2 linked regions of the Caenorhabditis elegans genome follow. The protein of the gene in region 2 purifies or fractionates together with the protein of the main gene of each other region. This does not show direct contact. Each region holds a gene or a part of one and is shown on either strand. Other genes may lie near its edges.

The links.
Region 1: the proteins of smc-3 (region 2) and evl-14 fractionate together in Caenorhabditis elegans (co-fractionation; one large-scale study listed by BioGRID). This does not show direct contact.

What each region holds. Positions count from the first base shown.
Region 1 is NC_003281.10:4,309,989-4,314,830, forward strand, and holds the start of evl-14 (Cnd1 domain-containing protein), read right to left. Parts: upstream 3,141-4,842; 5' UTR 3,137-3,140; coding exon 3,053-3,136; intron 2,900-3,052; coding exon 2,687-2,899; intron 2,638-2,686; coding exon 2,545-2,637; intron 2,498-2,544; coding exon 2,171-2,497; intron 1,643-2,170; coding exon 1,391-1,642; intron 1,337-1,390; coding exon 1,218-1,336; intron 1,161-1,217; coding exon 1,063-1,160; intron 890-1,062; coding exon 744-889; intron 691-743; coding exon 347-690; intron 1-346. Other genes in the region: dcn-1 (Defective in cullin neddylation protein 1), read left to right, coding at 3,960-3,992, 4,818-4,842.
Region 2 is NC_003281.10:11,288,829-11,294,047, reverse strand, and holds the start of smc-3 (Structural maintenance of chromosomes protein 3), read right to left. Parts: upstream 3,145-5,219; 5' UTR 3,107-3,144; coding exon 3,092-3,106; intron 3,049-3,091; coding exon 2,934-3,048; intron 2,885-2,933; coding exon 2,652-2,884; intron 2,600-2,651; coding exon 2,413-2,599; intron 1,378-2,412; coding exon 972-1,377; intron 1-971. Other genes in the region: mib-1 (RING-type domain-containing protein), read left to right, coding at 3,483-3,635, 3,723-3,818, 4,212-4,556, 4,974-5,219. UniProt on the Caenorhabditis elegans protein: Involved in chromosome cohesion during cell cycle and in DNA repair. Involved in the repair of double strand breaks during mitosis and meiosis. Required for chromosome segregation during mitosis. Central component of cohesin complex.

The sequences.
Region 1 (4,842 bases), 7.0 Mb from region 2:
TAAAAAAAAGTTTCAAAAATTCAAAAAAAATTTTTTAACTAAATATATAATATAAATAACTAGAAAATATCTTTAAATGTTGGCAATTTTTCTTTTTTTTTTTAGAATAAAATTTAATGTTTTCTTATGTTTTTTTCTCATCGAGATAAACAAAATTTGATGAAATATTGATTTTTTCGGATAATAGAAAAATCGAAAACTTCCTTCTTTAGGCAATTCAAAATTAATTCGGATTAGTTTTTGCAACAAAAAAAATCCCGTAAAAACCCATTTTTTCACTGTTAGAATTATTTTCGATAGTTTTAGAACGAAATTTTTTTTAGAAATTCTAAAAATATCAACGTACATGCATCCAATATCATCAAGATTTCTGAATAAATCCGCCATTAATCGAACTCTCAATTTTGGTTCAACTTTGTACGGAACAAGATATAATTGGAAATATCTTTCGATAATTGCTCTTGCATCGTGATAAGCTGGCAATCTTTGTGTCAATCTATAAACATTAAAAACTGCCGTTGAAATGAATCGAACTGATTCTTTTTCTGATTCAGTATATGATAATGTCGCTTCTTTTGAATCTTTTGGTGCACAACTTCCATCTTTTGAGAAAAATGGTTGAGGTGATGACGTCATCACATGATTATAAAGATCCATTAGACGTTTGATCGCTTGAATTCGGACTTTTGGCTGGAATTTTTAGGGTTTTCGCTTTTTTAATTAGATTTTTTAATATAAAAAACCTTTTTATCCTTCATCCGCTCGGCACAGGCCTTTAGCATTTTATCACTAATAACTTCTAATTTCGTTTTTGCCACTTCAGTAACTCCAGTTACAACATCTCGTCGAATATCGTCATTTAAATCAACGGAGAGACGTAGCAGGCTATCTGAAAATGGGGATTTTACTTTAGAAAAATTCAAAATTTTCTTGAATTTGGAAAATTTCACTAAAAAACATGAAAAAACATTTTTTAAAAAACCAACTTTCAAAACCGTGAAAATTCAATTTTAGCTTTTATCCAATATGAGAAAAAATAGTTTTTATTTCACGAAAACCTACTAATAATCTGTCCCCTGAGATGTGAATGATTCGAAATTAGAATATCTTTCGATTGTTGCACAAATTCGTGTCGAACACTATCATCTTGATCGATAGACCTGAAAAAAATCACAAAAAATTCGACAAAATAATTTAATTACAATTAAAAAACTAACGCATTCAAAAAAGCACTCCATGTTGGATCATTTGAATCCATTCCGAATTGACAATGTTTGTCACGTGTCAACATTCCAACGACTGTCACTGCTTCTTTTCGGTACTGCTCATTTTCTGACTGAAAAATGATTTGATGAGTACTCTACTAAGTTCCTTTTTTCAATTGTCCTACCTGAAGCCAAAATTTGAGTTCTTGAATAGCGCCAGACACCAAATCAAATGATACGTAGTGAAGATAACGGAGTACTTCAAAGAATTTACTTCGATTACTGGAACCAGTTAACTCGAATTCTTCTGGAAGTTTCCCTTCTTTTGCGGCTGCTGTCATTGTACTTCGAATGGAATTTGCTAAAGTGTCTGACTCATTATCACTGCAGGATCGGATGATATCTTCTGCCAGTGCACGTGCTTCTGCGAAATTGCTCTGAAATTGAAGTTTTTTGTTGGAAATATATTCTGAAAGGGTATTCTATAAGAGAATTTTTCATACTTTTCTCATAGTTTTGCATTAAAATTTTTTTTCCAAAAACTTTAAATAACGGTTTTTGAAAAATCATTCAATAATTGCAATAAATTCTAAATTCAGTTACAACCTTAAATTACGCCGTTATTTTCGTGTCGTAGTGATTAAAAGATGGTATTTTTTATGAAATTAATTGTACATTTCGCAAGTTTTTGTCGTTTATTCCTTCTGTTTTTGTTGATTCACGCACTTTTCGATCAGACGGAATCCATAATTTGAAAATTTTGAAAAAAATTTTCTTGTAGACATGAAAATATGCAAATCAACAAAATAAGCATTAGAATAAACGACAAAATACGCGGAATAGGGAAAAAAAATGATTTTTTAAAATTTTCGGCCGATTTCAAGGGACATATTCATAAATTTAAATATTCTGGGGCTATTTTTTGTTTTCAACGCTAATTCCCTATTTAATTCCACAAAACTTACTCTCTGTGGATTAATAATATGATAAAACAAAACATCAAGGCACTCGTTCTGAACAAAATCCAAATTAGTAATCACTGTCGTTGCAATTTGAATTAAAGATTTCCGAATTTTTTCGGCGGCATTCTCATCTTCTTCGTCATCATTCATTGAATCATCGTCATTTTCTTGAATTTTCAAAAGTCGCGCTTCTTTTTTCAGATTCTGATTCCATCCTTTTCCACACGGAATCGCCAGAATATCCTTGATCAACGCTCGGAACACCGGAGTTGCTTCTTTATCATCGTGATCCTTCATTTCGATGATTGGTGGAATGATTTTCTCCATTGTCTGAATATAAATAATTATTTTTTGGTGCTAGAATTTCTACAGCAAACCTCAACCAACGAGAAGTAATTTTTAAACTTCGGACTATCCTGAGTAACGTCTCCGAGTCCTCGCATGGTACGGAAAAGGTAGATATAAACCTCCTGAAACAGAAAATTTCATTAAAAATCAATAATTTACTTGAATTCTAACCTTTAAATCCATTACACTTGGCGTCGGTAGCTCTGGCTGGAAGATTCGCAGAATATTCGCGAGACAAAGTGAAAGAAGGATCCGAAAATCTGTATTTGAATTGTCAAGGAAGCATTCTTGTGATAAATGTTGGAAAAGCCTTGCGAATCGATTCGGAGACGATACTTCTTCGCTATTGTTTGTTTTGCAGTCATGGAGACAGTTAAATAGTTTCTGAAAATTATATATTTTTTTAAATAATGTTTAATCATTTCTTTTAACGTTCTTTTCATCAAAAAATAATTCATTTCTCATATTCAACTTCTTTAAAGGCATCAATTTAGATTCAAAATAAGTTGTTTTTTTGTTGAAATTTCTGAAACTCACTCGTAAGCGTTCAATTTGTTGTGTCACATTATTTGAGTTAAGAATTGGAAGACATCCTTGCGGGTAATCCACATCACCGCTCATTTTACTGAAATTGGAAGCAAAAATTCAATAAAAATTGTCGAAAAAATGGAGAAAATGGAGAAATAGAAAAGAAATTAAATTGAAAATAGTGTGAGATACTGTATTAAAGGAGCATGGGCAGTGGGAACAAACGGGTCTCGCCGAGATTTAAATGTTTCAAGCGCGCGCCAAAATTTGTTTCAAATGCTTTTTCACGCTTTCTCTCAATTTTGTATAATTATTTAAATGTTCCGCTTTTCTCAATTAAAATTGTCATGTTTTAAATTGTATATACATATTAAAATATGTAAAAAACTTTGCAATCATTGAAAATAATACAAATTCAATAAAACTTCACTTTCTGTTACAGAAAAATGTTTTTTAAATGAGCGATGCTGTAGTAAATATTATCTCTAATATATTCCTTTTCAATGGAATTCAAAATTATGTTGATTTTCTTCAGTTTTCTTTTCGAGAGACGCCGACGTTAATCGAAATCAATACGACACTCCGTTTCCCGCTAAACAAAGTGTATGACGTCACATCTGCATTACATTGCAGCGTTTTCTCGTGGTTTCCTCTATCGCTCACCATTTTATAGTTTTTCCCGTATTTTTCTATTGATTCGTTAATCGACCGCGTTGTTGTTCGTTTCTTCTTCCTTCCCTCTTCTCTTTGCGTTATTAAATTGCTTTATTTTTTGAAATTATTAACTGCATTGCTTATCAGTTTTGTTTCGAAAAGTTGTATCTTTTTTGTCGTTTAACAATTTCGAAATTACGCAGATTTAATTTTAAAATCACTAAAACAATGAATTTTCCAGGCTAACCACTACGTCTACACAATGAATCGACTGAAGTCCGATCAAAAAACAAAGGTTTGTAAACGGAAACAAGACGATGAAGTGGAGATGAGTGATATGGAAACTGATCACAAAAAGTGTAGAAAACAAGAAAACAGTAAATTTGTGCGTGTGAAAATTCCATTCGTCATCCATTCCCGTTTTTCTCTTTTTCAGCATTTATCTCGAGCAAGTTCGAGTTCTCTAGCTCAAAGCACTGTTCTTTCTGACATTTTTCCCAAGAACTACGATAATATCGTGAGTTGTAGCGGGAATTTCGAAAAAAAAACTAATTTTGCCACATCTTGCTGCTTCGTTTGTTATTTCTTGACTAGACAAATTCTAGCTCATCTAGAAAGCTGACTTTTCTCAAAATCGTTGCGAGACCCAAAGCAGAAAAATGTATCTTTTTTAAATCTACGTGGAAACGCGCTCCAATATTAAATTTCGAGGTTTTCCCGCCAAATACCTAACGAGACCCAACTTTGGCGAGCAGAGCGTTTTGCCCGCGATTTTCCTGCGTCTCTTCAAACAATCTAATCACTGCTGCTGGTTTATGAAATATCAATTTTCCTCATTTTTTAAAGCTGAGCAATGTTTTCGCTCAATCCTAAAATTTTTAGTAGTTCTAATTGTGATCAACGGTTTCCCATTTCCGATCGAAGTCACTTTTTAAATTCTCACTTTTATTGATTTTTTTCGTTTTGAAATTCCTGATTTCTTCCTTTTTAGTGATAAGACATCAGTTGCTGACTGTAGAGAAAGTGTGAGAAACTGTTAGTGAGAGAGAGAAAACAGTTTGAGAAAATGAAAAATGTTTTAAATAATGATATCATAATTATTATTTGATACCATTTCCAGCTCCGGCAGTTCGTCCAGTGGACTC
Region 2 (5,219 bases):
TTAAATTTGTATTGATAATTTCAGCAAAATAAGCACATTTTCCAGGCTTTTCCAAGATTTTAATGAATTTTTCCAGGAATTTACTAGATTAAAAGTAGCAATTTCAGTAAAACATTCACATTTCCACTGCAACTTTTTCCTCACGAGGGACGAGGACAAGTGGTTTCTAGGCCATGGCCGAGGGGCCGACAAGTTTCAGCGGCCATTTATCTTGCTTTGTTTTCCGCCTGTTTTCTTTTGTTTTTCACAGCTTTTTCCCGTTTTTTCTTATTAAAACTGATAAATAAATATTTTTTGCAGATGCTAAAACAATTTCCAAGTGAAAAAATTATGTATTCAGTGGGCAAGCAGCGGTGAAAGTGGGCATTGTAATATGATGGATTACGGGAATACAAAACCTAAACTTTTTCTGAAACATGATACATATGCTGCTTAAATGCTGAAACTACCTGATTTTCATAACGAGACCGCTGAAAAAGTTTTGAGGTTTTCAAAATTCAACTTTTTGTACGAAAATCTCTACTTTTTCACCAAAAAAGTTGAATTTTGGAAACCTCAAAACTTTTTCAGCGGTCTCGTTATGAAAATCAGGTAGTCTCAGCATTTAAGCATCATATGTATCATGTTTCAGAAAAAGTTTAGGATTTGTATTCCCGTAATCCATCATATGACAATGCCCACTTTCACCGCTGCTTGCCCACTGAATACATGATTTTTTTACTTGGAAATTGTTTTAGCATCTGTAAAAAATTATTATTTATCAGTTTTATTAAGAAAAAACGGGAAAAATTGGTGCAAAACAAAAGAAAACACGCGGAAAACAAAGCAAGATAAATGGCCGCTGAAATTTGTCGGCCCCTCGGCCATGGCCTAGAAACCACTTTTCCTCGTCCCTCGTGAGGAAAAAGTTGCAGTGGCAATTTCATTAAAATATACGCATTTTTTTGCCAGTGATTTTCTCTCAAAAAAACCTTGTATTCTCCTCATTCAACGAGTCAATTTCAAGCTTCAACGTCATTTTCTCCTCAACCATTTTAGTTTCCTCAGCCTGAAGTGTCTCTTTATCCTCACGAAGTCCTCTTCCAAGTGATTCCAGCTTCTTCTTATCAGTTTTAAGCTTTGCCATTTCAGCAATAACATCATTCAACTGACTTTTCACATTATTATCCTTTTGATTCAGTTCAACTTTCTGTTCATCAAGCTTTGTTTTCTCTTTTATCGCTTCTTTATTTGTATTATCATACATTGTATATTCAACACTTCGCTTCGTTTTATCCAATTTCTGATATTCTTTCAAATCTTCTTTCTCGTTTTCAAGAGTTTGGAGTCGTTCGTCAATGTATTTCAGAAGGCCTTGGATTTTTTCCGTTTTCATCTCTGAAATTCAGGAAAAATCGATAAAATTTCAAGATTTGAGAATTTTTCTTCAAAAAAAAGGGTAAATTTGTGATTTTTTAAAAACATTTTTTTATGTAAAATTGCAGAAAAATCAATAAAATTCCCGATTTTGTGCACTGTTTTGTTCAAAAAAGGTTAATTTCAGATTTTTGAAACATTTTTTTTGAAAAATTTGAGAAAAATCAATTAAATTTCAGGTTTTGATAATTGTTTTTCTTCAAAAAAAAAAGGGTGAATTTTCGATTTTTTGAATTTTTTTTTGTAAAATTGCAGAAAAATCGATAAAATTTCAAGATTTGAGCATTTTTTCTTCAAAAATGTTAACTTTCTGATTTTTCAAATATTTTTTCTTGTAAAATTTGAGAAAAATCGATAAAATTTCACGTACCTATTTTCTTCGAACTATTTTCTTCGAAAAATTTCTTAAAACTCTTAAAAAGCTTTTTTTTTTTAGTTTTTTTAGCTAAATTTTTTTGAAATTTCTGAGCTTTTTGAATATTTTACCAGATAAATTTTTCGGTCGAAATACCAGATTTTGAGCACTTTTTGTCTTCAAAAATCTTCAAAAATCCAGTAAAATCGGTAAACTTCAAGCTTTTTTGAATGAAAATTTCAATAAATTCTGACATTTTCCAGAAAAACAAGCGATTTTTGTTGAAAATAGTCAAAATTTGGTGATTTTCGTAGCTTTTTGACAATTTGCAGTCATTTTTCAGATAGAAAATCAATATATAAAGGTGAATTTCCACTTTTTTGAATAAAAATGCACTAATTTTTGAGAGTTTTTTTTGAAAATAGTCGAAATATGCTGACTTTCGGAGTTTTTGGACAATTTCCAGTCATTTTTGCGCGACTTTGCAAAAGAAAACCAGAGTTTTGCTGAAAATGTGCAATTTTTGCATACTTAACACCAAAAACCATGAAAATTTGATGATTTTCCAGTCATTTTTCAGCAAAAAAAAATCATTTTTCTAACGTTTTCACCGAAAAAACAATTATTTTTCAGGTACGCACTGGTTTCCTTCAGGATTTTCAGACTTTCTTCCTTTCTTTCATCGTAAACTCGTGTTCCGGCGACTTCTCTCAGTAGCTTTAGCTTATAAGCGTCCGGCGAAGTGGCCAACTCGTTGATTTTTCCCTGTTTAACGATGTAATACGGGTTTGAGCGAGAAAATCCGGCGGATTCCATGAGATTTACCACCTGAAATTGAGGAAAAATCGATAAATCTCGAGGTTTTCCACAGCTGGAATACCTCGGCACGTGGCACCATTTTATTATCAATGTAATATTGATCCTTTTTCTTTCCAACTTGACGAACAATCTTCACTTCTGAATTTTCAAACGCCATTAGACGCTTTTCCGAGTTGTCAAAGGTGATTTCGACACGAGCGTGGGCGACTTTCGGTCCGGTACTCTCGTGAAGCAGACCAAGACGTTGTTCTTCTTTCAAATGAGCATATTCATCGGAAAGAACGAATTGAATCGCTGAAAATTGACATTTTTCAGCTTTTCCGCAGAAATTCATGCGGCTAACCATGGAAAAAATTGGATTTTCCCGATCCATTTCGTCCGACGACGACGTTCGAGCGTGGACTGAAGCCCGACACATTGGTGTTGTCTTTGTAGCTTCGAAAGCCGGTGATTCTCACCTGAAAATAGGGAAAAATCGATGAAAAACTTGGGAAAACTCACTTCTTTGATCTTCATCGGTTTATTGCATCAAGTGATGGGATGTTGACTGAAACATCGATAATATAGATGAGAAAATCGCAGAATTTAAGTCAAAAAAAACTTTTTGAATGAGGAAAATCGATGGAAATCGCAAAAAACACTGAAAATCAGCAAAAATAAATTTCAAATTCAAAGCGAAGAATTCGCGGGCGCGACCCGGGACTAGAAATCCCCACTCGGCCACCCGGTGTGTACTCCTCTCGGACAAGGATATTTCGAAAAATGAGGGTTTTTCCAAATAAAAACGTGTTATTCTCGGAAAAATACTAGAAAACCACGGAAAAACGTGTCTAAAACAAAAAACTAAAGCAGAATAACAAAAAATTATTTATTTCAATTATTTCTCACAAAAATGAACGGAGTAGCTGGCGAATCGCCGAGCTACGACGAGTACCTGACGTATTTCACACCGGGCGATCGAATTCTGATATCGGAAAATCATCCAAATCATGCACAACGCCTCAATTCGTACAATAATGTTGCGTGGACGAAGACACATTTGGCTGTGAGTGGCAGAAAAGAAAAAAATGCTGAAATCTGAAATTTTTTGCTGAGAATCTCTTCAAAACAGGCAAATCTTCAACATTTTCAGCTTCTCGGTCACATTGGCTATATCGAGAGCATCAACGAGCACCGGCACACTGCAAATGTTCGGGTTTACTACGCAGTTCCGCAAAATCCAGAGCTTGTAAGCTGATTTTTTGAAGATTTTGTGTAAAATGTGTGATTTTTCGGAATCTAGCGATCTTTTTTGTACTTTTTTCCATTGAAAATCGGAAAAAAAAAGTTTAAATTGCTTGGATACTACCGTAATCGTTTAAAGGCGCACACATTTTTACTGATCGCGCCAGGAGAAGTATTGCGAAAGTGGCGTGCGTCTTTAAAAGGCTACTGTAATTTTTGATTTTCAATATCGAATTTTTAAATGAAAATTGGTTGATAACGGTACAGAAACTGAAATCTTCATTGAAGATACTTAAAACTTTTCCTGAATTTTTTTGATTTCAAGCTTTCAGAGGTAACACTGAAAAAAGAGCCTTTTTCCGAATTTTTCATCCCAAATTTAAATTTAAATTTTCAGTTCAAGCTCTCTACCGAATGGCCGCTGGACGCGTTGGAATTCCCTCAATGTATAGATCATTCAAAAGGTGATCTCGTTGCAATAACCCGCGGAGATCCGGAAAAAACGACAATCGGAATAGTGGCAACGAAGGAACCATTGAATTTAGGTGGAATTCCGAAGCATTTGGTTCAACTGAAAAGCGCCTCGAATCCGACGATTACCCGGGAGATTCAGGTGGCGGTTAATGCGAATACGGGATGGACTGATGAGAGACGGGATATCTTTTTGTGTCCGGTTTATTCGGGTCCCCGATTGTCAATGATTGCTAGAGATAATAATGAGCCGTCGGTTCATACTTATAAGGTAGGTAACTTCAGGCATGTCTGCCTCCAAAACTGCCTGCCTACACGCTTATCTGATTATGTGCCTACCTAGTTGCCTACTATCGCAATAGCCTGTCAAATTGTTGTCTGATGCTGAAAATGCCTGAAAATGCGTCCGCATAAAGCTTGTCTGTCTACATATTTGCCTGATTGTTCATAGGTAAGCTTACAAACCTACATACCTACATGCCTACTTGCCTACACGCCTGCCTCCGCGACTACCTGCTTGTTTTTTTCCTGCCTTCCTACATGTTTGCCTGAAAATGCGTCTGCATAAAGCCTGTCTGTCTACATATTTGCCTGCTGGTCCATAGGTCAGCTTACATGCCTACATGCCTACCTGCCTATCTGCCTACCTACCTACATGCCTACCTGAAAGATAAATCGATTTTTTCAGCACACAATCCACGGCTACACCCCGGACACCTTAATGCAAGTGATCGCGAATTGGGGTGAAGACGCGCTGAGCTATGCGCTTCTCGTCGAATCGATCCGATCGGATCCGCAACAAGTTCGGACCCTTTTCGACGGTCAACTGCCACTTTTCCGTGCTGTCGCCGATGATCTACGGAATGTTGTTGTGATGCTTGTCGCGTTGGGTGCAGATAGAACCGCCAGAGATTCCGAGAATCGAACTATCATT